Linked DNA regions of Ovis aries. The protein of the gene in region 1 purifies or fractionates together with the protein of each later gene. This does not show direct contact. Links are inferred from orthologs where the notes say so. Each region holds a gene or a part of one and is shown in the gene's direction. Other genes may lie near its edges.

Region 1 (4,751 bases):
TGCAGCTGAACAACACAGTACTGTCAAGGGCATGGGCTCCAAGGGCAGGTAAAGGTCAATCCTGGCTCCCAAATTTTGTATGCACAAAATAACAGACACCACTTCACAACAGTCTTTCATCTGTGAAACAGGACAGATAGCATGCAGGGTGTCTCAATAAAAAACATATGTTTATTATTTTGCTTTACATTCTGTAGCACCCTCTAGTGGAGTGTACAAAAATAAGCATTATATTTCTACCCTCCAAGAAGTGTGCATTGGAATCACCAGAATAGTTTGTTATAACACAGACACCCAAACCCTAACAACTACTAGAATTTCTGATTAGTTTGGAGGTGAGAATCTAAATTTCTGACAATTCCCCACCAGGTGGTGCTATTGGTGTGTCTGGAAAACACTTTGAGAACCTCTGCTCTAAATCCCACCCCTCCCCAAAGGGTGCACGTGTGTGCCCAGAAACACATATGCACACACACACAAACGTATGGAATCTATAACTGAAATAAGTATAACTTGTGTTGTTTGATTTTATTAGTATGCCTCTAACAAGGATTTTGTGAAGAATTAAAGAATATCATGTGATATGACACATCTAAAATATAGAAAGCATGCAAAAAAACAGGATCACAGAACATAAATCCCAGGTTCTCAGAACTAGTAAGTGGTGGAATCGGGCTCAAAATTAGGCCTCTAATTAGGCCTCTAAACTCCAAAAACATAATAAAGTTTCACAGTACTACTGCAGAAGACAGGGTGAAAACACAAATATCCGATCATAATTTCAAAAGTGAAAGATCAGTTTTCAATCCCAGGGTCCAAGCCCAGTGAAGACAAATGTCTGTACTGACCAGAAAACCACCTGTGTTTTCCCTGCAGCAGAGCAGGGGTCAGGGTGAGGTGGTAAAGCGGGGCAGGTGGCAGCATTTGAAAAGATCCTAACCCCACAGAAAGGGTTAGAATCTTCGTATCTTCATCGGCGTCAGTGCTTGGGGGTCATTCATCAAAAATCCCATGGACGGAGGAGCCTGGTGGGCTGCAGTCCATGGGGTCGCGAAGAGTCAGACACGACTGAGCGACTTCACTTTCACTTTTCACTTTCATGCATTGGAGAAGGAAATGCAACCCACTCCAGTGTGCTTGCCTGGAGAATCCCAGGGACGGGGGGAGCCTGGTGGGCTGCCGTCTATGGGGTCGCACAGAGTCAGACACGACTGAAGCGACTTAGCAGCAGCAGCAGCACCCCCAAAAAAGGCAAGAAGAAAGAGATGGGAGGGGGAATTTTTTTTTTAAGGAGGAAAGAAGTAAAGAAAGGAGGTAAACATTTGAATAGAGCCCTACCTGGTAGGGCTATTAATAAGTTAATTTGATTTTTCTCGAGAAATGAAAGATATATATGATCTTTATAGATTGGAAAGCTCAGCAAATCAGAAAAAAAAAAAAAAAAAGATGGGGGAATCCCATAATTCCAGGGACCAAACAGCCAATCCTTTGCTGGAATTTGGCGGCATCTAGTGGCAAACTCAAAAGGTATAAACCTCACACGGAGAACTTTCTGGAAAATTAGAGTGCATACTTGCGTTAAGAGCACTCTGCCTGGAAATCAGAACAAGCAGGTAAGAGAGCCTCAGCTCCCACAGAAATTCGGAGTCCCTAGTGGAGGGGAAGTCTGTCGTGTACAGATATTCTCAGCAAAATATTGTGGCAGAACTGGACGCAACTTGGGGGTGGGGGATGGACGGGGGAAGGAGCGGGGGTTGGGGGAAGACGGCTATTAGGGAACAGCAAAGCTGCTTTTTGGAACTGCTAGTAAGCGAATGGGGGATTTGGTTGTTAACCGCTGCTGGGCTACGGCTTAGAACGGGATTTTTGATTCGGAGATAGACGTGGGAAGAAAGTGTATTTTTAGGGTTTAAAATCAAATCGATAGGGGAGACCGAAGTATTTCTAGCGAAAATCCTTTATCTCAGTGATGGTCGCCATAACTTAATTGCTTAAATTTCCGTTTTATAAGAATAATTTTCAAACATAAGTAGAAAAATGATCCGCATAGAACGCGCGCGCTCACGCGCGCACACACGCGCACGCACCCGCCCCAGAACACACACCAGCCCCGACGCTAGGGGCGCACGCCTGCGCACACCAGCCACCTCCAGCGCCACGAGGCCTGGCGTTCGCGCACACGCCAACGCCAAGGCCACGCGGGCTCGCTTGCGCACAGGAGCCCTGACACCGCGCGCCCGCAGTACCCCCCACCCCCAACTCGCACACACATCAAAACCCCCAGTCAACCTTTATTTTTTTTTTTTCCTCCGGGAGTTGCGCAAGAGGTTCGGGGGCGTGGCCGCAGATTTGACCTAGCGCTTCCCCACTCGCGGGGACCTTAGCTCATTTCCGCCCATCCTGTTTCCGCAGGCCACGTAGACACTTCCTTTCCCAGTTGGGGGGGAACCCACAATGCCTCCCTGCAGGAAAAAAAAAAAAAAGAAAGAAACCTCTGGGCAGGGGAACTCTGGGTCGTGAAAGTGGGCCACGTGAACACTCTGCCCTATAGACTTATGACCCAACCGCTGTCGCGCTTTTGGAGGGCGGGCTGAAAACCTAAGAGGGCGAACGTCATTGGTCAGAGCCCTCACTAAAGGAGAAAGGTAATTGGTTTCCTTCAAGCCTTAACGGTGAAGAAGCAGGTTGCTAGCACCCGCCTTTACTGCGGCGGAGTGTCATTGCTGACGTGGTGAGCTTCATCCAATCATTTGGTTATAGAACATTCTAAAACTTAGATGAGACGATTGTGATTGGCTGTAGGGCATAAGCCCGCCTCCAGGGTGACGTGTCTGCCTATGGATATCAGTTGCCAGAGAAACCTGGCTTTACTATGGCGGTTGGAGAGTCGGCAGTGATCACACGTCGTCGTCTGTCGGAAAGAACTGGATCCTCGTTTCAGGTTTCGGGGTGGGGGTGGGGAGAAAGGGTTGACGATTTCCTCTTATCGTCGCGTATACAGACAAGATTAATTAATGGCTTTACTATCGGGCAGAACTAGATTCGAATTCCTACTCGCCAACGCCCAGCTTGGGCTGGCTGTTCTTTCTGTGTCTCGGTTTCCATGTTTGTAAAATGGTGATAATAATAGTATCTGTCTCAGAGACTTGTGCCTCAGAGGCGTGTGCTGTATATTAGAGCGTATAATATACGACTGCTAGGTAATGTAATACGTATAATAACTTAATACGCACCGTGGCTCCGGAAGACGTTAGCTATTACTGTGGAGAGAAAAACCCGCGTAATAGAGTGAGAAAAAACGTAAAATTATGTAAAGTCGTTCCTTACAGTGCTTTTCCTATCACCTCCTTCCGTAAAAGAAATTCGAGATACAAAAGAGACGTATCAGTCTTTACCAATGAAATAATTTATTTGACAATTACCTCAAAATAGCGGGGATTGGAATTTTCCGTATTGAAAAGTTAAAAAAAAAAGCGGGGGTGGGGAGAAACGGAGAATGAGGAATGAGAGCTAGCTGGAGATGAACCACATGCGATGAGTAGGCCTTGTTTGAATCCTGATTCGGGGAAATCAACTATAAAAAAATACTTAAAGGTGCATCAGGAAATTTTAAAGACGGATTCGACATTTGATTTTTTTTAAGGAATTAATGACGATGTTTTTAGACGTTGTAATGATACTGTGGTTATGTTTTCAAATTGCCTGTAGCTTACAGAAATATACGAAAATACGAATTAAACAATAAAAGCATTCAGACTGGCTTCAAAATACCTTGATGTCTAGGATTTGCTTCAGAATTAGCTCAGCGGTAAGGGGAGGTGGCGAGGGGCATAGATAAAACAAAATTGGCACTAAATGAATCGTTTAAGCTGAGTGATGAGCTTATGGGATTCCTTGTATTGTTCTAGCTTCCTTGGTATATGTTTGAATTTTTCCATAATAAAATACAGAAAGTCAGCTATTCAGTGCTCTTGAGAAAAACAAGAGTGGGGGGGGGGGCGGCGAGCAGTGGGTGGGGTTACAGATAAAACAAGATGGCCTTCAGTTGGTAATTGTTGAAGCTGGATGATAGATTCGCAAAGGTTTATATTATTCCCCTACATTTTTATCCATTTGAAATTATCCTTAATAAAACTTAGAAAAAAGCAAAAACAAATTATCGGAAATCATGATAAATGTACAATAAGGTAAATTTGAAAATGTAGCCACAAGAAAGGGGGAAAAATCTTGTACGTATTTTATCAGCTTTGGTGTCCTTTGTGTATGTTAAAATGCATTGGTGGAAAACAAAACGTTCATCTCATATCTTTATGTCCTTTGCTGTCCCCTTGTTTGACCTTCTAGACTACCATCAGAAAAACTAAGTTTGCTGTGTAGTGAGGATCAGGTCTGATCCTGATTGCAGAACATCCCTCATTACAGAATCTTGGGTAAGTGCCTCCCTTCTCCTGGCCTCAGTTCTGAAACAAGATAATTCCACATAACCATGATAACTATCTAGGAATATTTTGAGGATTAATAAGGGCCTGTCGAGGAAAGCACTCTACATTCTAAGAATGGAAGGATGGAGCTAAGTCCATCTGTGCTTTCAGTATAGAAAGTGCCTAAAAATCAGTGGGCCCTGTAATCTTACATTCCTTGGTAAAGGATACTCTCTAATACTGCCTATAGTTAGAGCTGTGCATCTATATATATATTTTTTAAAGTTTGTGGCATTCCCTATGCAACATAATTGAGTGGTCAAGAGCAAA
Region 2 (4,758 bases), on another chromosome or scaffold:
CACTTCTGAGCATCTGTAGCATGAAATACTGCCTAAGAAGACATAAGGTCCAGCCACTTCTATACTTCTAGCTCAGCCCTTCTCTCTCTGTCCCAGAGCCACTAAGATTTCTTGTTTGCTGAGGCTGGTAGAGGGTAGAGAGGGCCGATCTACATGACATATTCCCCTGCTTGATCAATAAGGCCCAGGACTTTATTATTCTTCCCAGGCACCAACCGGACCATTAGGAAAGTCAGAAGAACAGAAACCTAAGACCACACCCCCACGACCTCACCCTATCAGACTCATCCTCCTTACTATCCCCCACCCCAAAGCAGCAAAGCCGTTCAGGCAGTTAGACAGTATCCTAGCCTGGGAATTAAAAAAATACGTCTCATTCTTAGGTCTGCCATAAATTCACTATGTGAACTAGGCAATCACTACTCTTCTCTATGCATCAGGATATGAAGAGGTTAATACAGATGGTTTTAGGTTTTAAGCCCTTTCCAGTTTTAGGTTTCTGAGAATGCTAAGGATACCTTAATATCAAAAGTGAGCCAGGACACAGCTACCTGGTAACAATGCCAACTAAACACCTCGTATCAGGCGCAATGATGCCCCTCCCTCCTCCACCGCTTCATCTACAGTCAGGCAGAGGCAACTGGCCATCTTCGTAGATGGCACCAAAGGGAGGGACAGGCGCGGTGGAGAGCGTGAAGCCCTGCCCAGAGTCCGAGATGAGACCTTCAGACTATAAATCCCAGCATACAGCGGCAGCTCTGAAAGGTATCTCCCTCTTCCCCGAGTCCATCCTACATTACACTGCATCGCACGCACACGAAACTACGGCTCCCAGAATCCACCAGACCCATCGCGATTCTTGCTCCCAGGGTGCAATGCTCTCCCTTCGCCCTTTGGACCTTGGCGCGTTGCAAACTGGGAGCTGAAGTCCACTGCGGGCAGGTAGCTGGGCGTTGTCAGCATTACAAACTCTTAGCCTTTGGTTTCCTCTTGGAGGGCAATTTTCAGAGACAGTAATCAAAAGAGGGTGGTGTCGGGCAGGCAGACCTCCACGGTGCCTTCGCTACGAAAGGCAGGGATGCTCAGGCTAAAATTTACTGCTGGGAGCGGGAGGGAAGAGAGAACAGAAGCCATCCAACCCGACACCAAAACCATCGTTTTCCGTCGCGATGGCTTTTCTTTTTCTCTTTACCAATATGGCGCCTGGTCCAGCCACACCTGACGCTGGACCCAAACAGTCCAGTACAACATCCCTAGGAGGACATGCTGTCACCGACAGCCTACCAGCACCAGCCAACACCACACTTTGCTTCTTTCTGTTCGCGCCTGAGGACTCCAAGGGCATAGTAGTCTATAACCCACTACCAAAATGGCGAAAGGAGAAGCATTCTTGTTAGGGCCTTCTGGTGACAATACGCCTGCGCCGGCGCGGGCCGTGTTATTGTGGGGCGGGAGGGGAGCACCCGCAACACGCCTGCGCGAGACTAGAGTCCTCTCGGTCTACACTCAAACACCAATGGATGAAGAGCCCCGGTGTCCGTGCGGCTGCGCCGTGACCCTTCGGAGCTTTCCCAAGCGCCTGCGCGAGACATCAAGTCCCGCCCTACCCTCACAGTACGCTGGCGCAGGGCTGAAAGGCGGGGCATCGGCGCTCCAGACGAATGCCAGCGCGGCTGCGCGCCGGGGGGTGCCCCCTCTCTGCGGCTGCGCGGGAGCCCGGCCGCCGGCTGTCACTGCGGTTGCGCGCGGCGAGCGGCGATCCCGGGGCGCCTGCGCGGGTGGCTTTGCGGGCGCTCGCGGTAAGTTTGCGCCAAGTGCGCGGCAGCCGGGACGCAGACGGCGGCGGCGGCGAGAGGCGGAGCCCGGGGACCACCCCCCCATCACCCTCCCCGCAGTCACCTCACGTACCACAACCTCACCTAACCTCTCACCCCCCCACCTCCGATCCCCCCAACCCCGGGATGGCAGCGCCCGCCAGCCTTCCCGGCCGGACCAGCGGTCGCCAGCGCCGGCTCTAGCCTGTGGGACTAGGCCCCGCCGAGGCCTGACCCCCCCCGAGCCGGGACCCACCGTGCAGCCAGCCGCCGGGCCGGGGCTGAGGGGCCGCTCCCCCCTCACGGCCCGTGGGGAGGACGCTGCCGTCCCGGGGACTGGGGGCCGGGGGGTGGGGGGGAGCCAGGGCGAGGAAGTCGGGACCCGTGTTTGGAAAAAAGAAGAAGGGCCGGGGTCAGGAGCGCCCCCTCCCCCCGCTTCCCCCCTCCCCCCGGGGTTGGGGGGGCCGGAGCAGAGAGCGCCCAGCCCGGGAGGTGGATGAATGTGGGAGAAAATGGAGACCAAGACGATCGTGTACGACTTGGACACGTCGGGGGGGCTGATGGAGGTAAGAGTGGCCCACCTCATCCCCTTCCCCCAGCGCCGGGAGGGAACCTCCGCCCTCCGCCCCACAAAGCCGGCCCTGAGCTCGCAGCGCAAGAGGGCCGGGGGAGGGGGGGCTCTTCCTCACCGAGACTCTCCCTCCCATCTTTGCAACTCGGGGGGCCGAGCTCAGCCGCCGAGGACGTTTGCAGCAGTTTCACCTACCCGCCGACCTCGATTCGCTCTCCCGAAGCGCCAACCCACTCCATCTCTTTGCACCGGCGGGCCTCCCCACCCCCTTCTTGTCGGCCCCTTTGTGCTTCCCCCAGCACGTCCGGGTACCGGGCTTCAGGCCCTTCCCGAGCCTGGCTTTGGAGTCCCCCACTGTCCATACAAGGAAGTGGCGAGAAGGGAACCGCGCACCCTCTCCCCATCCCCCTACTCTGATCCTCCCCATTTGGAAGAAGCGGTGCTCGTTGTTGTGCGGCAGGAACGCGGTTAGGGTGGCCTCCCCCTGGTTCCGGGGGCTAAGAGGTTCTGGGAGCAGCCTGAATGGGAGGAAGAAGGACAAAAGGGGGGAGAGGGGTGGGTGACGGAGAAGCCGCGCCGGGGGGGCGACGGACCGCCCGGGAGCTCCGAGTGTGCACACACGCCATTTGTATGTGTGTGCAGCAAATCCAAGCTCTGCTGGCTCCCCCCAAGACGGACGAGGCCGAAAAGCGGAGTCGGAAGCCTGAGAAGGAGCCCCGGAGAAGCGGCAGGGCCACCAACCACGACAGCTGCGATAGCTGCAAGGAAGGTGGGGACCTCCTGTGCTGTGACCACTGCCCGGCCGCCTTCCATCTCCAGTGCTGGTAAGGTCTGGGGACCCCCTCCGGAGCCCCTTGGCGGACCCTTCCCGGCACATTCCTTCACCCGGCCTACCCCTGCTGGCCGAGATAACGGGCGCTTGCAGCCGCTAGCTCTCTGCAGCCGCTGGGGCGAGCGCCTCCCCGCCCCCAGGTGCGGCCCGGATCCGGCCGTTTGAGGGGGAGGAGCAGCCGTAGGTCCGGACCCCGAGGTGGGGGTGGGGAGGAGTGCGGAGTGCCCCATCTGGGATTGGAAGTCGCTGGGGAGCCGGGACGGACCCGGTGGGGCACGGCCGGCGGTGGCGGGGGAGGAAGGGGAGGAGCTCCGGGCCCTGCGCCGCTCGCCGCCCGCGCGTCCGCCCGCCGCCCTCGGGCTCCTGCCGGGATGGGCTGTCCTCGGGGTGGGTGCGCGGGAGCCCTCTGCCGCAGGAGCTGCCCTGGTCCAGGCCTGAGGGACCCGGCACCCGGGCGCTCCCGGCCATGGAAGAAATCATGGAGGGTGTCTCTGAGTCCGTCTGTGCTCTGCTTCTCTGTTTACAATATGGCGACCCGCCTTTAAATTATATTTTTATTCTCAGCGCCATTTTGGCTGCATATATGATTTGCAGACGTCTCCCGGGGAACGGTGGGGGTAACCTCGGAGTCCTTTCGGCGGAAGCTCGTCGGGGGCCGGAGCTGGGGTCTTGCCGCTGGGGTCCCCTTTCTCTCCCGCCGCTTGCCCCTGTTGCCTGTCGGAGCTGCCTGCCTCTTCCCTCCCCTCCCCGCGCTGCCGCCTCTTAGGAAATCGAGCCGGGTTAGACAATTAAAATTGCCCTTGGGCGCCGATTTCACTGCTCCGCTCCGGATCGGCGAACCCTTCTCTGCAAAATTCTTTGCTGCCGGGGTTCTGTGTGCCCTGGCTCCGCGAGGGCATTTTTAAGGAGCGGAGAGCTGGAAAGCCGGGCACTTTTTCTCCCCCCCACTTACTGAACGCAAGGGGAGGGGAGAGACCGTAGAGGGAGGGAGGGACCGGGGTTAGTCGCCCGCTGCTTGATCCTCCTCACCGGCTCAGCCCAGAACAATCCGACCAAGAAGAGTGTAAACTCCAGCTCCTGCCTGGAGAAGTCACCTCGGCCTTCCTCAAAAATCCCACATCTGCGCCAGGACCCCGATCGATTCTTGTTCGGATGGCTCTTGCTCTGTTCAGCAACAGTTGACTGAGGCAGATGTTTGCAAGAGGAGATGGCTGGGGAGAGAGCGGGAAAGAGAGGGGCTGTTGCGTTTGTTCCCACCCGTTTTTGATATTGCCATTTTTAACCTTCTCTTTTAAAAAAAAAAAAATACCATAAAGTGAGGGTTTCCTTAAGCTCTCTACACAGTTCCATTCACATTCCGCCCCCAGGTTGGTGAAATAGTGCCTGTTGTGTATTTGTACTAATTGCAGGTTTGGGAACACTTATTAGACAGATGAGTGATACTGGGCAAATTAAGTCTGTGGTCAGAAGTTTTGTAGGAAGCTCCCATTACCATTCCCAAAATTCCTTTGCCCGGGAGAGCACCCCATCTTGGCTTGTAA
Region 3 (3,967 bases), about 110 Mb from region 1:
TACCTAAAAATCTATGTATGCATTCAAATTCAGATGATACAAAGCTGCATAGAGTGAAGACTAAGTTCCCCTTCCACATCCTCTGTTCTTCTGGTTGCCTTACCCAGAGCAGAGTCATTTGTGATTTCTTATCCATCCTGCCGGCATGAAGAAGTACATGCTATGCCCCTCCGCCCTCTTTTTCTGTTAGGAAGTTGTTGACTTGACTTTGGATCTTAGTTCCCCAACCAGAGATCGAACCTGTGACCCCTGCAGTGGAAGCTTGGAGTTCTGACCACTGAACCACCAGGGAAGTCTCTGTTCACTTGATTTTTTAAATTAAGAGTTTGTATTGGAGACTTTTTTCCTATAAGCATGCTTAGATATATGAAGGGCTCGGTAGAATTCCTTTGTGGATATACTGTGACTTGTGTCACCAGTTCCTTATTGATGGATATTTGTTTTCAGTCTTTGGCTATTTCAGGCATTCCTACCAAGAATAACCTTGTGATGATAATCTGTGATTGTCAGGTGAATTTCCTTAAGTGGTCAAAGAATTCTGGCACTGAAAATGGACAAGGTCTTTTGTAACGAGTGCTTCTGCAGCCTTAGGTACATCCAGTATTTGAAGAAAGCAGTGAAATATTGATGGGCGAGGAAAAGTAGGCTTGTTTTTCGATGATGGTGATGAAAGAATTTGTAGTAAAAAGAAAAATCCTTATACGATGATGGAGTCAGAGGAAACTGAAATAATTGAATTTTGGAGTCAAAAGAAGCTTTTCAGACCCTCTAGTCCATGTTGTAATTCTACTCCTTAAAAAGGTCATATGATGAACTGATGTGTTTGACCGTAACTTTACCTGTAGGTCTTAGAATTTTTCTACTTAACGCTATAAAAAACAAGTCACTTTTCTTCCTTTTATGTCAGCCCTGATATTGCTGGTGCCTCCTTTCTCTCAAGTATTCCTATTTCTTTTCAAATGGTTCTCATGAGATATGTTTAAGTTCCCTTTCACTTCAAGCCACTATTCCCTGTAAAAGTTTCATTTTTGCCTAAGTCCTTCTAAAATGCATTGCCTAGAGCCTAATTTTCTAAGTGTGGTTTTCCCAGTCACAGATTAGTAGATGAATGCCCATGTGTATTGCCTCTTCCTACCCTATATAAATTCATGTAAGATGAAAGTAATTAATTTTTTTATAACCACATCGTATTCTTGGCCACTGAACACACATCAACTCAGACCCATGTCTTAATTTTTTAAATAGATTCACTTTTTTATTTTTAAAAATATTTTATTTATTTATTTATTATTTATTTGACTGTGCCAGATCTTGCAGGATCTTTGATCTTTGTTGCAGTCTGTGGGATCTTTAGTTGTGGCATATGGGATCTGATTCCCTGACCAGGGCTGGAATTTGGGCCTCCTGCATTGAGAGTGCACCATCTTAGCCATTAGACCACTAGGGAAGTCCCCATGTTCTTTTTCAAATGAACTCCTATTGTTTAGCCATGGCTGCCTTATTCTGTTCTTGGAGTTTTTGTGTATTTACTGCTCTTTCATACCCTAAGCCCAATCTTGGTAAAATTTAATCTTGTATTTTTTAGTTATTACTAAATTATATGCCTGGAAGTAATTCACAAACCTTTATTCTAAACCAATGAATCCTTTGTACAGCTGGAATTTAGAAACAGTCTAGGGTTTTGTTTTTTTTTTAATGTTGGGGCTCAGAGCCTTACTTCTCAGCCTGCCTTACTAATGTGGAACTATGGGACACAGGTGAAAGTTGTTCTGAATAATACAAATGGGAACGCATTGTTAATAGATACAGATGCAAAATCATCACTTGGATTAAGTGCCAAGAGTCATCAGTGGTTTCTTTAGCCACAAGGAGTTACCATAGAATAGGGTAACAAAGACGACCCCCTCCCCTGCCTTCCCCTGTAAAAATGGGAATGCCTGTTTTATGAACGTTAAGCACCATAAATAAGGGGTTTTCACATCATGTCATTTTTACTCATAACCTGTTTTTTAGGTGAAGAAATTGAGACCCGCGGGGAAGTTGTGATTTAAGGAATCACATATAACTAATTTTAGTTTGAGCCTGGGTTTAAACCCAGTTTTTCTTGACTCAGCACTTTATTTTGTCCATTCTGCCTTTTTACCTCTTACTGGGAAACCAGAAACACCTAGAGTATTAAAATTGAAGGTTTTTTTTGTTGTTGTTGTTAGGTGAGAAGTCATGATTTATGAATACGGGAGTCAGTGATAGACAATTTGTTAGCAACTGATTTCTTAAAGGATTGTGGAGGGGAAAGTTGAAGTTTTAGTTGCTCAGTCATGTCTGAATATTTGCGACTCTGTGACCCCTTGGACTGTAGCCAGGCTCCTCTGTCCATGGAATTCTCCAGGCAAGGACACTGGAGAGGGTAGCCATTCCCTCCCCAGGAGGTCTTCTTGACCCAGGGATCAAATCTGGGTCTCCTGCTTTGCAGGCAGATTCTTTACCATGTGAGCTACCAAGGAATCCCCTTATAAGATTAATATGACTTATTTTCTTTCATAAACAGACCGGAAGGAAAGGATTATGCCCTTCATTGGCTAGTGCTGGGGACTCACACATCTGATGAGCAGAATCATCTCGTGGTTGCTCGAGTCCATATTCCGAATGATGATGCGCAGTTTGATGCTTCCCACTGTGACAGTGAAAAGGGTGGTAAGTAATCCATACATTCCAGCATTGGTGTCTGAGGAGTAAGCCTCTAATTATATATTAACTTATACCAATATCTTTTGGGTAGTTAAACCTCAACTCTGAAATTTTACATTCACACGATGAGATAAATCTGTATGCACTGGTATGGAAAGGTGTCCAAGATAAATTGGGTAACTGATGTGTGTGATTATAGTAACAGTTTTGGTAATAGTAAGAATATGTGTTGGTGTATGCATAGAAAAAAAAGTCAGGCATTTATACCAGATGGTTAATAGCTTTTTTATGAAAGTTGTTGACTCCCTTCCTGCAAACCAAACATAATTCCCCTGTTTGGTATTCCCACAACCACCGAAGTTTGATGATTTTGCTAGGAGGACTCAAAAGACTCAGCAAATTATACTCAAGGCTAAAGTTTGTTATAATTAGAAATGAACAGAAGCAGCAGGAAAAAGATATACATCAGGGAGTCTAGGGAAGTCCAGTGCAAATCTCATCCAGGGCCACACAGGATGTACTTTGTTTCTGGCAACAAATAACAGGGAGACATGTGGGCTATCTCTGCCCAGGGAAACCCATTTGAGGGTCAGGGTCTCTGTCTTTCTTGGGGGTTGGTTGTGTAGGCAAATTATACTGGCAGCCAGCCATGGCAACTGAATCTTGAGACCCCAGTAATGAACTCAGGTGTGTATCGTCAATCTTGATATTTGTACAAAGCCACCCTGACAGACTGGAACAGCATGGTCCATTGCTTCAGGTATACACCACAAAATCAACCCATCAGTGACATAGAGGACATTCTGAGGTCTGTGTTCCCAGGAGTTGATCAGGGGTCAGTTGTGGCCCCAGTTTCCATCAGCAGCGAGGACTAAGCAAGCAGACCTGCCGGGTTAGTGCTTCCCCACAACCCCATGTGGTTAAGCAGATCTTAACATTGTCCAGTACTTTTTAAAAAATAAAACACTGCTTTATAGCTAAAATCTTGCCAACCCTGCTCCATTCCTCTCTGCTTTCCTTTCCAGAATTCATCACTGTCCTGAAATTAGTGTGCCATTTTCAGCTATTTTTATTATTCACACATAATGCTGTACAGTTGGCTTTTTTCATTCAGTTCTCTGTGTGTGTACCATGTAAATGTCTAGCTTATTCTTTTTACTGCTGTGTAGTATTCCATTACACTTAAACCCCCATTTATTCTTCTGTCAAGGGGCAGTTGGGTTATATCTCTGTTGGTGTTTTGTTCTTGGAGCAGTGCTTCAGTGAATATCCTTGCCAA
Region 4 (4,472 bases), on another chromosome or scaffold:
ATTGATTTTTAGCCTTCTTGAAAGACTGATGACTCTGTGGGGGTAAAAGCCTTGTTAGTTCTGCTCACCATTCTACTCCTGCTGCTGGAAGCCCCTATGGCCGTGTCCGACTCTTTGTGACCCTATGGACTATGGCCTGCCAGTCTGCTCTGCCCATGGGATTCTCCAGGCAAGAATACTGGAGTGGGTGGCCATGCCCTCCTCCAGGGGATCTTCCTCACCCTGGGATTGAACCCGGGTCACCTTCTTTGTAGGCAGATGCTTTACTGTCTGAGCCACCAGGCAAGTCCCAATTTTACTCCTGACCCCTGGCAAACGATGCACCCGTTGCCAGCATATTCTCAGCTTTCCTGCACCTCTTCACAAGTAGAGATACCAAATGCAGATGATGTACAAGAGACCGTGGGATGGCAGAGGAGAAGTTGGGTAGTTTCTTGAGAGAGAGGATATTTGGGTTGTATTTTGCAGGATATATAGGGTGCTTTTTGTGTAATGAAGAGATTAATAGGGCTTCCGGCTGACGCATGGGGTCAGGGAGCAGCCAGGCTAAGTAGGCATTGACAGGAGTTTCTGCACAGATAGAAGGCAGCTTACTTGGGTGGAAAATTCTGCAAGAAAAGGTTCACAATTTAGGTTCACAATTGATTGCCTTCAATGCTGCATACAGGTGCTTAGATTTAACTCATAAGAAGTAGGAAGACCTTGGAGATTTGGAAGCAGTTGTGGAATGATCTCAGTTCCTGATAGCACTGTGACTGGAAAAACTGGTTAAGAGGCTCCCAAACTGGTCCTGTGGGGAAGCGATGGGAACAGGACTAGAGAAGTGAGGAGAGGAGGATCAGGACTAAGTCAAGAGCAGTTTAGCAGGGACTTCCCTGGTGTTTCAATGGCTAACACTCTGCATTCGCAACACAGTGGGCATGAGTTCAAACTCTGGTCAGGGAGTTAGATCCCACATGCCACAGCTAAGAGTTTGCATGCCACAACTAAGATCCCGCATGCTGCAATCAAGACTTAGTGCAGCCAAATAAATTAATAAACATCTTAAAAAAAAGCATTTTGGCAACACTTCAATGCAGGGCCTTGTATTGGGGTGCTGTGTGTCCATACCCCCAGTTGTTACATCAACCCTAGAAAGCAGGGGTCCAGAACCCTATTTCAGTAAATATATCAGGCTGTGTAGATCTTAGCATCTGTAGAAGCTATTTACTCCGCTGTCAAAGCGCAAAAATAGCCAGAGGTGCCCAGTAAACGAGTGGGCATTCCAGCGTTCCAGTAAACCTTAATTTTACAGACACTGAAACTTAAATTTCATAGAATTTTCACGTGGCACGGAGTAATCTGCACTACCGGAGTTTTTCCAACTTTTAAAACTGTAAAAAGCATTCTCAGCTTACTTGTGGGGCCGGACAAAAGCAGAGGCCAGCCCTTGGTTTGCCCACCGGTGGTACTTGAAGCGTTAGCAGCCTTTCAGTTTTTTGGGTAAGATCCTACAGCTAGTCCCTCCAGGAGCTTTGCCGTCCCAGCCGCCGCCAGGCCACGCCCTCCGGGGCGGAGCCAGCGCATGCGCGGCCCACCCTCGGGCGGGGGGCGGGGCGGGCCGCGGCTCCGAGTTCCAACATGGCGCACGCTGGCGGCGGCGGCGGCGTCGGCCCTGCGGGCCGGGGGCTGAGCGGCGCCCGCTGGGGTCGCTCGGGCTCCGGGGGCCACGAGAAACTGCCGGTGCACGTGAGTGGTGCCCCAGCCCTCCCTGGGGAACCCGGCCGTCCAGTCCCCGGAGGTTGGCGCCCCCTGCCAGGGCCCCGCCCGACCCTGGCCCTGCGTCGGCCTCCGCTCCGCCGGGCCCTGGACCCGCGACCCCCTGCCTCCGCCCCTCGGAGCCCGGCCTGCACCCCTCCCGCCAGGGACCCCCGGCCCCGGCCCCTTCTGCGCCGACCGCGGCCCACCGGGACCCTCCCCCTCCCCGCAGGTGGAAGACGCCCTCACCTACCTGGACCAGGTGAAGATCCGCTTCGGCAGCGATCCTGCCACTTACAATGGCTTCCTGGAGATCATGAAGGAGTTCAAGAGCCAGAGGTACCTGCGGGGCCCCTGCCCGGGGGCCGCCCCAGGGCGCGCCCTGGGCCGCAGTGGGCCTGAGCGCCGTGGGAGCCGCCAGCCCGCGCCGGCCCCCAACAGGGTGACCTTGCGCAGGTGGTGGCTGCTCGGAGCCTCGGTCCTTCTTCCAGACAACGGGACGGAAGGGTGCCCTCCTTGTGGAGCTATTGTGGGGATTCCTGGAAGGAGGGCAGGGATGCGGTGAGGCGAGTGAGGCGGTCAGGCAAGCACAGGGTGGGATCCTGTCTTTACTCAGAGTGTCGGGTTTTAAAGATAAATTTTGCTCGTCCGGGATTTTTTAAAAATTTAGATCCCCGCTCCCCCCCCCCCCCGCCCCAAGCACTACATGAAAATGTTACTTATCCAGATTAAGGAATGTTTTGGCACTTTCTCCCCCTCAAATCTTAATCCCCAAGGTGAGTGCCTTACTTGCCTCGCCCTCATCCCAGGCCTGCTTGGGAAATAACGCACACAAAATGCTTAATAAGGAACCTGGCACTTAGAAGGCATTTAAAACACATTAGCTGTTTTCATAGGCACAGGATCAAGGGGGTGAGAGATGTATCAGGGACCTCTCGATCCCCTGTCTTGTTTGACAGGGGTCTTGCTGAGACTTAGAGTGGGCCAGGGGTTCACCCAGGTTCACGTTAGAAGCAGAGGCGGGACCAGGACTCCATGCCTTCTGATTTAGATTTGTATCAGATCTACACCGTGGTGCTTTCCCCACAGAGGAAGTAATAACGGCAGGGCTCACCTGGTTTCCTTCCCAAGCCCGATGGTAGACCTTGGCCCTGACTGCAGCCCCGAGGGAGAACTCTATCTCCTCTCTCCTTGAGCTGTTACGCAGTTTCCATACGTGCAGGGCCTTTGACATTTATGCATTACCGTCAGTTGCTGGGAACAACTCCTGGGAACAGCAGATCGCTGATTCGTATGAAGTGAATTTGTCTCCCTGTTTAGAGGACTTGGCTTCCTGTCACTTCTTGGAGCTCAGGATGTGCAGCTGGCTCTCCTGACGTTTCCAGAGCCTAGCGCACGTGCTTGCGGTTTTTTGGGAGCTGTGCTGTGCGCCTGTTGTGTGGGGTTTTGGCAGGAAGATACAGGGAGCCCAGGCCTGGCTGCCTTGGTGGTGGACCACCGTCTGCAGTCACACAGTTTAGGGTGCGTCGTTGTCTGTTGAGCAGCCTGTGTCCTGGGACGGGTAAGAGAGTCAGAAGTCAGCTCGGTTCCCAGTCTGCCCCCCAAGACCCTCCTGCCCACTCCTGGTCTTCTTTGTTGCAGCATTGATACTCCGGGTGTCATCCGGCGAGTGTCGCAGCTCTTCCACGAACACCCTGACCTCATTGTTGGATTCAACGCTTTCCTCCCTCTCGGCTACAGGATAGACATTCCCAAGAACGGCAAGTTAAACATACAGTCGCCTCTGTCGAGCCAGGTATGCAGTGGTGTGAGTGACCTGGACTCAGCACCGCCCACCCTGGCCCTGGGGGTACTCATGCCAGGCAGTATATCCCGTGTGTTTCATTGGCAGGGAAGCAGGTGAAGGGCCGATCTTCTTGAAATGCTTCTAGCGCAAATCAGAGTGAATTGAAACACCTTCCCCAGCAGCCTCTGCATCCCAGATTGATCCACTTGGCAGATTTAAATCAAGAGTGGGTGTGTCTGTATGTGTCAAGGAGGCATTCTCTGAACGTAGTTTTATGTCCAGTCACAGTCAGAGATGTGGATGGACTTAAGAGTCTGTCATACAGAGTGAAGTAAGTCCGAAAGATGAAAACCAGTATTGGTATATTAGGGCATGTATTAACATGTGGAATCTAGAAAAATAGGACAGAGGAACGTAGTTCCAGGCCAGGAATGGAGACTCAGACATAGAAGACGGACGTGTGGGCACAGTGGGGGAGGGGAAGGTGGGGTGAATTGGGAGATTAGGTTTGGCATAAACACACTACCATGTGTAAAACGCTTAGCTACTGGGACCTTCGGTGTGTAGCGCTGGGAGCTCAGCTCAGGGCTCTGTGATGACCTAGAGGGATGGGGTGGGGTTGGAGGAGGAGGGAGGTCTAAGAGGGAGGGGGTGTGTGTGGCTGATTCACTTGGTTGTACGGCAGAAACTCAACATTGTGAAAGCAACTGTGTTCTGATTAAAAAAGATACTGGCAGTCGCAGCCACCAAGGTCTGGGTTTGAGGCTCCCCCTCGGAGCGCTAGGCGGCCCCCGCTTGTGCTCGGGCCGGTCATCCCTCTGAGCACCCTGGCAGCGCACAGGAGGAAGTGGTGGAGACGCGTGTGTGACCGGCCGTCTTTGTTGTGGATGTGCTTCATTTCCCTGCGGGCAGGACCGTGGACTCAGCTCAGGCTTGCGGCCCCTTCTGA
Region 5 (3,036 bases), on another chromosome or scaffold:
GGGAGTTGTATTTGTAACGGAAGAAGAGAAGAATAAAAAATATTAGTTTTAAAAGTGGCCTATGTGACTGCTTTTCTAAAAAGGTATTTAATGCTCTTAGTACTTTGGCTTATCTCTTTGAAATAAAGCTAATACACAGGATTGCCTTCACATTGTTGTACTCTGCCTTTCCTGATTGATAATTGCATTGTCTTAGAGCCTAGACGTTGTTAATATTAGCTAAAACTACTTGGCTGCTCTATTAGAAGTTCCTTTTTTTTGTCAAATTTTCTCAAACATGTTTCTGCCTTGCAAGGAGCCCCAGGTATTTATGAGGTGATGGAGTACCTAAGAGGCCTTATTTTGTGGACACATTACGGAAAAAAACATAATTCGGGGGGATTAACTTCCCAGCTTCTTTATTTAAATAATAACTCCATAAGAAGTCATTGTCTATCTCTGGGCATTCCCGTTATTTGCTATCATTTAAGCCAAGGCAGCTCTTTGGTTTGCTTATATCCCAGGCTTCCTGCATGTGTAACCTAAATATCCCCAATCTTGTCTCCAACAGGTGGACTGGGTGCAGTGTGATGGTGGCTGCGATGAGTGGTTTCACCAAGTTTGTGTGGGGGTCTCTCCAGAAATGGCGGAAAGTGAAGATTACATCTGTACAAACTGTGCAAAGAAGCAGGGGCCAGACAGCCCAGGGCCAGCGCCGCCCCCTTCCTTCATAATGAGCTACAAACTACCAGTGGAGGATCTTAAAGAGACCAGTTAGCAGACGCTGGGTTGGTTTGGGACACGGGGGAAAACGGACCACACTGAGACCGTAGTCATCAAGTAGAGTGGTTTAGGTCCACTCGGAATGTTGCTTCCAAAGATGAACGGCCTTCTGGGAAAGTCCTCTCAGCCGACTTCTCTGCGCATGGATGTGGGACCCGCGTTCTCTGTCTGCACTCGTGTGCTATAAGGGTGTCTGCCTTGGTCTAGCAGCTGGGGTTTCAGTACATGTCTCCTCTGAGGTCCTTTGTCACATTAAGGCCAGACACTGGAGCTCCAGGGTGGCAGGTTGGCATCATTGCGTTGGTGTGCTCGCAGGGCTTGTAAGAGTGTTTTAGGGCCAGTTGATACTAGTTAGAGGTTCGCGGCCAGCACTGTTGGGAGGTACTGACTGCTTGGATCTCCTTAGTTAGGGCAGTGGGAGGAGTCAGAGGACCAGCTTCCTTCCACTCTGACCTGCTTTTGATGCCTGGCAGGTCCAGCTCGGAGAGGACCAGGACGAACATAGTCCTGTTAGAGGCTGTGGGAAGGGGGCCTGGCCTGTAGACCTCCGCTCCGTGTGCTTGTGTGTACCAAGAGGAAAACCCCAAGTGAGGGGCGGATCACCCCATCTTCCTAAGGGGAGGAGAGTAGCATCCAGTTCAGAAATCTGACTAGATTGGATTCTGGGAAGAAGAATCTTGCCAAAGGCAAGCAGCCTTTTTTGGCTTTGAGAAGTCTTGTTACCTTGGGTCTGCATTTAGAGAAGAGCAGGTACGTGGATCCAGGCTTCTGCAGCAGCAGAGACAGTGAGTCAGAATGTTTCACTGAGCTAGCGGTGCATGCTTTTCGGGGAAACCTTCATTGACAAGTGTACCAGGTGCCACCAGGCTTCAGGCATGGCCACCAGCAAAACCAGCAAAACAGCTTTTTGCCTTGCAGCCCTGCCCCACTGTCTGGTTCCAGGACTGGCAGTTGCTGACAGAGGCCGGCTGCGGGCGCTATCCCGTAGCCCCATGGCTTCCTCCGAGGAGTTGGGCATAGAGTACCTCTGGTGACGAAGTTGTTTTAGTAATCCATTTTTAAAAAAAGAAAAAAGGACTTGTTTTTACTTTTTTCTAAATGTCTCTGACTACTGACTGTTCTATAAATAGATTATTTTTCCTTTTTTAATATACATATATGAATATATAAATATATATATATTTACCATTACCAGCAGCTTGTGACGGAGTCTCAGCATCAGAAATCCATTTGGGGGCTTGCTTTCTCTCCTTGCTTTTTATAAAGGAGTCCCACGCCTTCCTTGTAGTACATGGAGTTAGCACTTCCTTCTCCAGCCTCGCGTGACCAGATCGTCCATCTTGTTTTGTCCAGATAGATAATTCTGTTTCCTTTGTGTGTTGGGGCTCGTCCCTGTGTGTGGGGACCCTGATCGTGCTGTATCTGCAGTGGTGGTTCTGTTTGGTTCTGCTCCGTTCTGTTTGTGAAAGTTTGAAACAACGGTGCTGTGTTGTCCTCCTTCCTGTTGTGTTCTGTCCTCGTGGAGGTGTTAGGGACGCTCTTATTAGAAGGGGACTCTCTTTTTTCTTTAAGGACAAGAAAGACCCACCAAACAAGCTGAAAATGGTGTTTCATCTTCACTATCCTGTGTCCCTTTATTTTGGGTTGAAAATATGTGGTTTGGCTTATAAATCCATCAGTTTTCCTTTTAAAGGGGGGAGCAAGATGGGCCCAGAGAACAGCTAATACTCTCGTCCTCCCTTTTTAAAGAAATGTCTTCTAGTAACTAGAAGCGAAATGTACTGTCGAGTCACAGTTTGAGTGGGTATGAGATTTAACTCAAAAGACCTTCCTAAAAAAAAACCTTTCCTGTAAAATCCAGTTTCTGGACATGCTTTCTCTAGTTCCTATTACCAATCTTTTCGTCCCTCTTCCCCTGGTATCATAAAATCTTGAGTGTTAAGTTCATCAGTGTTGACGTGCATGGATCTTAACGTTTCATCTCAAGTGTATGTATGATTTAAGATTTCATTGGAAATTACAAGGTAACTATTTCCATAACTTTTCGTTTTGATAATGTACATAAAGATACTACTTAGTTAAGAATTTCATCTGGTTATAGAAGAAAGCACAATTTTTTTTTTCCTTTTGGTCTTCTCTGTAAAAGCCTTCAGACACTTGTAGGTTAAAAATTGATTGCAGTCTTCAGTGATGGCTGCCTGGAACATGCTTTATAAAACACCTTATTTTCCCTTCAGCTGTCAGCAGAGGGACATATGAGGATGCTGAGAAAGA
Region 6 (4,454 bases), on another chromosome or scaffold:
TTAGACATAGTCCCTGACAACAAATTTAAAATGCTTTTAGTAGAGAAATACACTTGCGTACATGGCACAATTAAAAAAGATCAACAGCTCCTAAACAGCTCCATGAAAAAGTTTGGACTTAAGGTTAGGAAAAGCAAACATAGAGTGAGGTAACTGAGGCGAATTTCCCTTAAAAAAAAAAAAAAAAGCAAGCAAACAAAACCAGACTCACATATTGAAATACAGTAAGGAGGAAATTTAGGAGTGTCTAATTTTAGACCTTGAATGGCCTTTGAGATTAATCTAGTATAGTGATTTTCAAACTATTGCCTAGAAGTCCACAGATGTGAAGTAAAAGGGAAACCTAAGTGGATCCCTTGCCTCATTTATTCGGCTTTGCCTACAAGGTGAAACAAAAGATTACTAGAAGACAGCTTTGGAATTATCTGTGGCTTTTAATAGTCCATAATTCTTTTGAATTCAATCAAGAAAAAGTAAATGTTCATGCAGAGTTTTGAGACACAAGTATCAGTAACTATGGAAATCTGATAGACCTAGATTTGCATTGTTTTATTTACGATTTGGAAGAATAGGACACAAACTACCAATTACATCCACAAACCTTATCAACATCACCGTGAACGATAACATAACAGTGCACTTCCCCTGTACCTAGGAGTTAATTTGACTCTACACGTACATCGCACATCAACCCTGAAGGCAGATTAGCGGCTCACTAATTTCTATGCTCAATTTTTCGTTTCTTGTTGATAAAGAACTAAGAAAAATAACTTTCTGAAGGACACACAAGACACGGCAGATGGAGTCCAGACCTGAACTTGATATATATGGTATCTTTATTCCCTAGCCAGGCTGCCTAATGAGGTTGAAAATGTATCATCCATTCATCATCCATCCAAGAAGAATGCGTAAAAATGCACAAAAACATCATCGCATATAAACAGTAGTGTGAAATTCGAGAAATTTAAGCTGGGTTTTAAAAAAAAGAAAAGGAAAAAGTCGACCACTGAGTGGGTTCTTTCCTGAGTCCTAGGTCCGCAACACAGAGCCCAAAGGGAAGCCCCCTAAGGAGGGTCGCCGGCCCTACTGGTCTCACTCCCTACCTCATGGAGGTTCGGAGTCCCGCTCCTTTCCCTCATGGGTACAACCCCCATGCCGGTCCATTTCCTCACCGAGTCAGAAACCAGCTCTCCCCGCCCGGCAAACGGCAGACACTGTCAAGCGCTGTCTCCACGCCGCGCGTCCCGCAGCGGAGAAGCAAGCTCGGGTCGTAAGGCAGGAAGCTGCTCAATGCGCAGCCGCCGCGGCCTCCAACCACCCGCCAGCGGAGGGGCGCTAGGCCGCCCTCGACCCGCTCGCCGCGGCCAGGGCGAGGCCAGCAAAGGAAGCTGCGGCGCCAGGGCGCCGCGGCCAGCGAGGTAAATAGCCACAGGTTTCTCTCCGTCACTCGCGGTCATTCGTGTCCTGACGGCAAGCTCTGCCCACTGCGCCTGTCGCTTTCTCCCCCGCTTCTGCGGCCGACGGGAATGGAACAGTCCCGCGGGGGGGATTGTGGGAGGCGCACGCGTGAGGGGTGGAGGGTATGTCGGGGGGGCCGGAGGAGGAGGAGGCCGCGGCGGCCGTGGCGGCGGTTGGTGGCAGTGGGGGCGGGGAAGGGGGGGAGGAGAGGAGAGGAGGTGGAGGAGGAGGCTTGGGCTCGCGCTGCTGAAGGTACGCGTGAGGGCCCGCGCCAGAGCTGGCTTGACAGGGGCCGAGGGGAAGGGGAGGACTGTGCCACAAGGCGCCCCAGAGGGAGTGCGTGCTGGCTGGCGGGCGCGCGAGGCGGCCGAAGGCGGTGGTTGGTGGGAGCAGCGAGCGACGAGCCCAGATACACTCTGGCGCGTGCGGGCGGGCGTGCGCGCTCCGCCGCCCGAGTCGGCTGAGGGGGGAGGACGAAGGGGGAAAACGCGAGGAGGGAGGAGTGGGAGGTGGGGGGGCACGAGGCGCCCTTCGCTCCCTCCCTCCCAAGGAGCTGCCGCCGCCGCCGCTCTGCCGCCGCCGCTCCCGCCGCCATTTTGGGTTCGCTTTGCGGAGGGGGAGAAGATCCCCGTCTCGGTTGCGGGACCCGCCTCCCCTCAGTTTCCCCCGCTTAGCCCCACGCCTTTCCCCTCTCCTCTCTCGCATTTCCGCCAGTCCGCTCACCCGCTGGCCGCCTCCTGACAAGCGGGAGGGATCCGCTGTGGACCAAGGGAAGCGGAGGAGCCTGGTGGCGGCCGCCCCCTCTTCCCCACTTCCCTGCACTCTCATCTCCCTCGGCCTCGGCCTCTGACACGGTGAGTAGAACCGTCTGGGGAGGCCTTTGGGCCTAAGTACTTCCTCAGCGACCCAGCCCCTGGCTTCCTGGGAGCTACTGTCATCTCCCGGACCTGGACCTCCGGGAGAGCGGTGGTAAGGATGGGGGAGGGGAGGGGAGGGCAGGGGATCCTGCGCTTACCGGGAAGTCCCTCCTGGCGGGGGTGCAGGGGTGTCCCTGACAGGCGGGCTCCTGCTGGGGGAGGGGGCGGGAAAGTAAGCGAGTGGAGGCGGAGTCGGCTGTGCCCCTGACAGGTTAGTTTGTATCTTGTGGAGGAAGGATTGGAGCATCCCCCATAGTCCTGTTTGTTTCGTGGAAGGGATAAAAGTGGCAGGAGGGAAGATTTTCCGTACGGCCAGATCTGTGGTGTCTCTGACATGCTGAACTGTATGTAGGGACGACAGAATGATCTCAGTTCCGCAAGTTTAATAAATGTTACTCGTGGCTTTGGGCATTGAAAGACATGTTTTTGGTCTAGAAGACAGATGGTCTGTTGGTGTATAGCGGCTGTGTTTGTGTGAGTATACAAGGAAGGAAAGTGTTCCGGAAGAGTTTGCTTGTATTTTTACAAGTGTAATGGAGTTCCCCTTATACTAGCTTATTTTTAAAATAAAGCTTGGGATGTTCCTTGCTGGTTGATGTGTTTGTGTATTTCAGGGTTTGGGATTGCCTTAATACTTACTTGGAAAGAGAAGTCATGGTAGTATTTTGGAAATATAGCATGTAAGTGGTGGGGTCCAGAATAGGAGAAACTTATCATAGTCAGCTATTCTTAAGAATAGTTTGTTGCTCAGAATAGGGTGAATTGTTTAGATGTAAAGGCCCAGAACATCTTTACTTGAACAATGTACTGTGAGTGTATAAAGAATGGATGGAGTTTTTGTTGACCTGAGTTTGTATTAACACTTCGTAATAGAATAAAGCTTTTATATTGTTCAGAATGCTCTGTTTGTAATCATAAATAAATCTCTGTGGAAATGGTAGGATGAATGTTTTCTCCCATTTACAAAATAGGAAATTGAGGCATGAAGACATCATTTTTTCAAGGTCATTTGTTAAATTGGTGACAAATTTGGGACTGTAATAGATACTTTTGACTCCTAGTCCAGTAGTATAGTCATCATATCATGACATCTCAGGAGATCTTTGTCAGGCAAATCTGAGTTTATTGGAAAGATAAGGGCATATTGAATGGTATTTGGTAGAGATCAGTTGTGTCAGACAGAACATAGGTTGTCTTTGCCAGGTTGGCCTGTGAGAGATGGGTATTCCATGAGGATATTACTTTTTGTTTATGGAGGAAGCAGAGCATTTCTAACACTTGAGTTTGTGTATTTGAGGGAGGGATATTTAACTGGTAACATAGAAGCAGGGTGGGGGCTGACAGCTTAACTTTAAGGGATAAAGGATCTTCTTTCATTCATTCAACAAATATTTACTGAGTAACTACTCAATAAATGGTCCCTGCCTTGGGGTGAGAAAAATCAAGGTGACCCTGTTGAAGCAGCTCGGGTACATTTGTCTTGACAGTGGTAAATACTGAGACAGTGATACATATTGAGTCAGGTGAGGTAGACAGGTCAGTGTGGAGTTGAAACTCAAAAACCTTCCTCAAAAGTGTACTCAGTTTGGAGGGAATTTAGATCTTCCAGATGTTTCACTGTGGAAGCATACAAGTGTATTTAAGCATCTAATAGGGTGCCCAGTTTGTGGTAGAGTGTGCTGCCTTTTGCATTTTCTTTGGGCATTTCCCAGTAAACTGTTTTGGGGATCTGGAATTGTCAATATATGTGCCTGTGAATATTGGAACTTTTTGGCCGCGCTGAAGAAATTCTTCGAAAGACTAATTTTGTAGTAAGGATCCCCTTCTCTGAACATGAGAGAAGTATACTTGAATTAAGGCAACTTAACTGTATTTCTCCGGAAAATAGAGTGTTCTTGATTTGCTGGATTAGTGGTTCTTAGAAGTTTTTTGGGGGGGTCCACTTATTTTTCTGAGAATGTGATGAAAAAACCCTCACTGTAGAAAATGATGGGCATGAGCACAATCACACAAATTATGCATACAGTTTTTAGAAACTTAAATTGTAATGAAGTAGAGCCAATTTATATTTAAGTCTCA
Region 7 (3,967 bases), on another chromosome or scaffold:
TTGAGATTATAAACATTTAGAGAAGAGTTGAATAGGACTTGCATTCAGGAAGCGTGTCATAAATGAAGTGAACTTCCTGGGAACAAGGATGATTAGGATAGTCAAAGGAAAAGGAAGAGAGGTCATGAACTAATAGAAAATGAGTCTCATTTTACCTGGATGAGTCTCAGCCTTCCTGAAAATTAATGGTCAGTGATGAAATTACTGGCATTGGAGCAGAAGGTTTATGGTAGAAAATGTTAGAAAGTAGAGTCTTTAGAAGGATTGAGCTGTTTCCACTAAAAAAAAGGAGTGATTGATTCATAGTTGGTGTTAGACCTGTGTAATCCTTTTAAAAGGAATATTGTTTTTGAAATTGATTACTGCTTTCTAAAACACATATGTATAAATTTGGATTTGCTTTGAAATGTATCTCTTTTATTCTGGCAGACAGTTCTCTTGAGAGTAGTGGTAGGGGACATTGTATACTTTGTGTTTGGTAACCTTGATCTAACCAGTTGTAATTACACAATTCTGACATTTATTTTTCTTCACAGAGGCCCCATAAAGCCACTGCTGAAGAAATGACGAAATACCACAGTGATGAGTACATCAAATTTCTACGTTCAATAAGACCAGATAACATGTCTGAGTACAGTAAGCAGATGCAGAGATGTACGTTTCTTTGTTAAAAGTATATATTAGGAGGGATAAGTATAAATAAGTACTTTCAGAACTTGCAATTAGAGTTACCTAAATCTAGATATTTTCCTGATCTAATTATTTTTATTATTTATTTATTTTTAAAAGTCCCTGTGACAATACTAAAGCTGCTTTAAAAAAAAAAAAAAAAAAATAGCCTACCTGAAGCTTATTGGTCTGCCGAACTGCCAAAGAGCTATTTGGATGTTCTTTGCTCTTTGGTTTGGTTCCATGTTAACTTTGAGATAGTGGATGTTGGTAGGGAAACCTCCTTCCCCTGCTTTTAAAAATATGACTGTACTTTGGCAGTAGTCTGGTGTGTATGTTTCTTGTCTTCTATTTGTGTGCTTTAATCCAGACTATTCCAGAAAGTTCCAAAAAAGCAAAACTTGAATTTACCTCTTGTGGGCAGCTGTTTACATTGCATTTACAACTATCTGTTGGTGCTGCTTAAGTTACTTCAGTTGTGTCCGACTCTGTGCAACCCCATAGACAGCAGCCCACCAGGCTCCCCCGTCCCTGGGATTCTCCAGGCAAGAACACTGGAGTGGGTTGCCATTTCCTTCTCCAATGCATGAAAGTGAAGTTGCTCAGTCGTGTCCGACTCTTAGTGACCCCATGGTCACTATCATTATATTAAATATTGAGTAATCAGAGATGATTTAAATATATGGGAGGATGTTCCATTGGTTGTATGAAAACACTGTATGAGGGATTTGAGCATCCCCAGAATTTGCTATCATCCGGGTCCTAAAAACAATACCTTGTTGATACCAAGGGACAGTTGTACGTATATCTGTATTTCCCTTTGTTGTATCAATGAAGCTTTTGACTCTCTTCTACACAGTGTTATCTTTTGTAGATATTTTATTATTAGAGATTGAATGCAAGAAGATAGAGTGCAAGATGTCTTTCTAAAATGACTAGAACAATGTTTTTTAAAGCTTGATACTGGCATTCATTCCGATGTTTTTATTGATGGACTTCATTAATGATTTTGTTAAAACAGTATTATTTGTTCAGTAATACTAAATTAAGTGTAGTTGCTAGACATCTTATAAATTCATAGAATTTGATGTACATTTTGTTTATCTCATTTGATTCAGTAAGATGTTGTATTACAAATATTAATAGATATTATTTGCCCCTGTTTTTTCAATGGGGATTTAGGCTTAGATTAAGTCATAGTTAGCCCTAAGGTAAAATGAACTAACAGGATTGGTTTTAAATTTACATAATACTGAATTGTATTAAGATAATGATCATATCTGAATAGCAGGAAGATAAAATGTATATGTTAAAATAAATTAAGGATGTACAAACCTATACAAAGTAAGTAATGACCCTTTTTCTTGAAGAGGATATAAATTGAGGGGTGAGGAGAACTGAGAATGGGTTGTACAATCTGTGTCCATTTCATCCTCTCAGTACCAAGAAGCTAAATATGTTGTGATGTGCTGTGTATCTATATTCGTGTGCTGTCTCCTTGTGCCTTAAGTATCTCTTTCATCTGTATCTTGGCTGTCATCAGCTTACGGAATTCTTACCATCTTTTAAGATTAACACTAACCATGGATGTGGGCAACCAACTGTTACATTTTTTTGGTGATCAGTACATTTCAAAGTTATGGATATTCTGTATACTTAAAGGAGTTTTAAAAAATGTAAATCATAAAGTAAGTGAGCTTAAACTTTTTAGGATTTTAATTAATTTACTGCTCTATATTTAAGGAGAAATGCCTAGGAAATTTAACCTCGTATTTTAATTAAATAACCCCAAATACCTTTTCTATTTTGATAGCTACTGATTTGTTTAAAAAGCAGATATTTTCCATAGATAATCATGTGAAGAATTGGTGGTGGTATTTCAGACCTTATATTTTAACTGCCTTGGATAAAATTGCAAACTTTACTACTATGATGTGTATGTTTTATGATTGCATCAAACACATGTTATTTTTAGGATATAGTTTTTGTAAGAAAAGGCTTTCATTGATTCACAGAATGGATTGAAATTAATGAAATCCGTCTTCCACAGTTAATGTCGGAGAGGACTGTCCAGTGTTTGATGGACTTTTTGAGTTTTGTCAGCTTTCAACTGGTGGCTCAGTTGGTAAGTGTCTTGATTTCGTCAAATTTAGAAGTTGATTTAAACTTGTGTGTATTTTTTGAGATATTTGTTTGAAACAAGCTTTAATAGTGTCTGATTTTAATAACAAAAGTAGTATGTGTATAGTATGTTTATAGCTGTCTACAGTTACAGTTGTTTTCAGTGGCGCGCACCCCCCCACCCAGTTTTGTGATCATAATGTCTCAAACTTTTTATTTGCAGCTTTTTACTTCACTTGCATTTCCAGTTAGAGACTTCTTTTTCCTCCCTTTCTTCTAGCTACCGTTGTCACTACCACTTTCCAACTGTGTGCTCTTATGTAACCAGATCACAGCTACAGGAGAATAGTCACCTAAAGAGAAGCTGTTAGTGCCCATGGCAGTGGTCCTCTTATGATTTTATACTCATTTGCTTATGCATGACATCCTCTTTCCTCTAGGGCTTTTGTCTAGTTATAGTAACTTTTAATTTTGAACATTTAAACATTTCTCCTATCTTTAATTGTTAGCTGGTGCTGTGAAGTTAAACCGACAACAAACTGATATGGCTGTTAACTGGGCTGGAGGATTACATCATGCCAAGAAGTCAGAAGCATCAGGATTCTGTTATGTTAATGATATTGTGCTTGCCATCCTTGAATTACTAAAGTAAGTTCATTGTGTTTGACATTTTTCCTGTAAAAAGTGTTTTAATTCATAGTAAAAACCTGTGCCTTTTTTAAAACATGAACAATGGGTTGAAAATAGTGGATAAATCATGTACAGATTCATTCCAAACCATTGTAAAAATGTAGGAAATTTGGCTAGTTCTTGGATTATTAAGAATGAGAACTGCATATTGATGTCTGAGAGTTTATTAAGTACCTTCCTAAAAGTATTAGAAGTAGCTTGACAGTTTAGATTGAAGATGTAGTTCTAACTATTGAAAAAAGATGACGTGACCTTAGAAGTTTGTGTTTTAACATTTTGTAAGTTTTAACTTTCAAGAAAAAAATTTGAAACCTGTGTTAAAATTTGTTTATCTATTGAATGTGACAGTTCACTGCCTAGCTCCCTCATAGAGTAAGGTTTTGTTCTCTACTAATGGATATAATTATCTCTAAATTGCTAAAGGAATCAGTTTTAAAGTTTTTCTTGACTGTCAGTTGGAGAGAAAGATCTATAGAGGTATTTGTGA

What was found.
Region 2: the proteins of MORF4L2 (region 1) and PHF12 purify together in Homo sapiens (affinity purification with mass spectrometry; 9 studies listed by BioGRID and IntAct, counting the BioPlex papers as one, with this or other methods). This does not show direct contact. The link is inferred for Ovis aries from reciprocal best matches to the Homo sapiens genes MORF4L2 and PHF12.
Region 3: the proteins of MORF4L2 (region 1) and RBBP7 purify together in Homo sapiens (affinity purification with mass spectrometry, with the first as the bait; 3 studies listed by BioGRID). This does not show direct contact. The link is inferred for Ovis aries from reciprocal best matches to the Homo sapiens genes MORF4L2 and RBBP7.
Region 4: the proteins of MORF4L2 (region 1) and SIN3B purify together in Homo sapiens (affinity purification with mass spectrometry; 5 studies listed by BioGRID and IntAct, with this or other methods). This does not show direct contact. The link is inferred for Ovis aries from reciprocal best matches to the Homo sapiens genes MORF4L2 and SIN3B.
Region 5: the proteins of MORF4L2 (region 1) and KDM5A purify together in Homo sapiens (affinity purification with mass spectrometry; 4 studies listed by BioGRID and IntAct, with this or other methods). This does not show direct contact. The link is inferred for Ovis aries from reciprocal best matches to the Homo sapiens genes MORF4L2 and KDM5A.
Region 6: the proteins of MORF4L2 (region 1) and ASH1L purify together in Homo sapiens (affinity purification with mass spectrometry; 5 studies listed by BioGRID and IntAct, counting the BioPlex papers as one, with this or other methods). This does not show direct contact. The link is inferred for Ovis aries from reciprocal best matches to the Homo sapiens genes MORF4L2 and ASH1L.
Region 7: the proteins of MORF4L2 (region 1) and HDAC2 purify together in Homo sapiens (affinity purification with mass spectrometry; 4 studies listed by BioGRID, with this or other methods). This does not show direct contact. The link is inferred for Ovis aries from reciprocal best matches to the Homo sapiens genes MORF4L2 and HDAC2.

Annotation. Positions count from the first base shown.
Region 1 is NC_056080.1:129,270,435-129,275,185, reverse strand, and holds the start of MORF4L2 (mortality factor 4-like protein 2), read left to right. Parts: upstream 1-1,554; 5' UTR 1,555-1,613; intron 1,614-2,869; exon of another isoform or gene 2,870-2,941; intron 2,942-4,344; 5' UTR 4,345-4,430; intron 4,431-4,751. UniProt on the Homo sapiens protein: Component of the NuA4 histone acetyltransferase complex which is involved in transcriptional activation of select genes principally by acetylation of nucleosomal histone H4 and H2A.
Region 2 is NC_056064.1:20,259,313-20,264,070, reverse strand, and holds the start of PHF12 (PHD finger protein 12), read left to right. Parts: upstream 1-1,812; 5' UTR 1,813-2,314; coding exon 2,315-2,380; intron 2,381-3,027; coding exon 3,028-3,209; intron 3,210-3,565; exon of another isoform or gene 3,566-4,758.
Region 3 is NC_056080.1:15,062,237-15,066,203, reverse strand, and holds part of RBBP7 (histone-binding protein RBBP7), read left to right. Parts: intron 1-2,548; coding exon 2,549-2,694; intron 2,695-3,967. UniProt on the Homo sapiens protein: Core histone-binding subunit that may target chromatin remodeling factors, histone acetyltransferases and histone deacetylases to their histone substrates in a manner that is regulated by nucleosomal DNA.
Region 4 is NC_056058.1:5,999,194-6,003,665, reverse strand, and holds the start of SIN3B (paired amphipathic helix protein Sin3b), read left to right. Parts: upstream 1-1,604; 5' UTR 1,605-1,620; coding exon 1,621-1,728; intron 1,729-1,969; coding exon 1,970-2,076; intron 2,077-3,378; coding exon 3,379-3,532; intron 3,533-4,472.
Region 5 is NC_056056.1:213,066,834-213,069,869, reverse strand, and holds part of KDM5A (lysine-specific demethylase 5A), read left to right. Parts: intron 1-550; coding exon 551-757; 3' UTR 758-3,036. UniProt on the Homo sapiens protein: Histone demethylase that specifically demethylates 'Lys-4' of histone H3, thereby playing a central role in histone code. Does not demethylate histone H3 'Lys-9', H3 'Lys-27', H3 'Lys-36', H3 'Lys-79' or H4 'Lys-20'.
Region 6 is NC_056054.1:105,709,225-105,713,678, reverse strand, and holds the start of ASH1L (histone-lysine N-methyltransferase ASH1L), read left to right. Parts: upstream 1-1,551; 5' UTR 1,552-1,710; intron 1,711-2,051; exon of another isoform or gene 2,052-2,172; 5' UTR 2,173-2,427; exon of another isoform or gene 2,428-2,473; coding exon of another isoform or gene 2,474-2,622; exon of another isoform or gene 2,623-4,454. Other genes in the region: DAP3 (small ribosomal subunit protein mS29), read right to left, coding at 2,474-2,622. UniProt on the Homo sapiens protein: Histone methyltransferase specifically trimethylating 'Lys-36' of histone H3 forming H3K36me3. Also monomethylates 'Lys-9' of histone H3 (H3K9me1) in vitro. The physiological significance of the H3K9me1 activity is unclear.
Region 7 is NC_056061.1:23,747,266-23,751,232, forward strand, and holds part of HDAC2 (histone deacetylase 2), read left to right. Parts: intron 1-536; coding exon 537-654; intron 655-2,719; coding exon 2,720-2,794; intron 2,795-3,299; coding exon 3,300-3,438; intron 3,439-3,967. UniProt on the Homo sapiens protein: Histone deacetylase that catalyzes the deacetylation of lysine residues on the N-terminal part of the core histones (H2A, H2B, H3 and H4).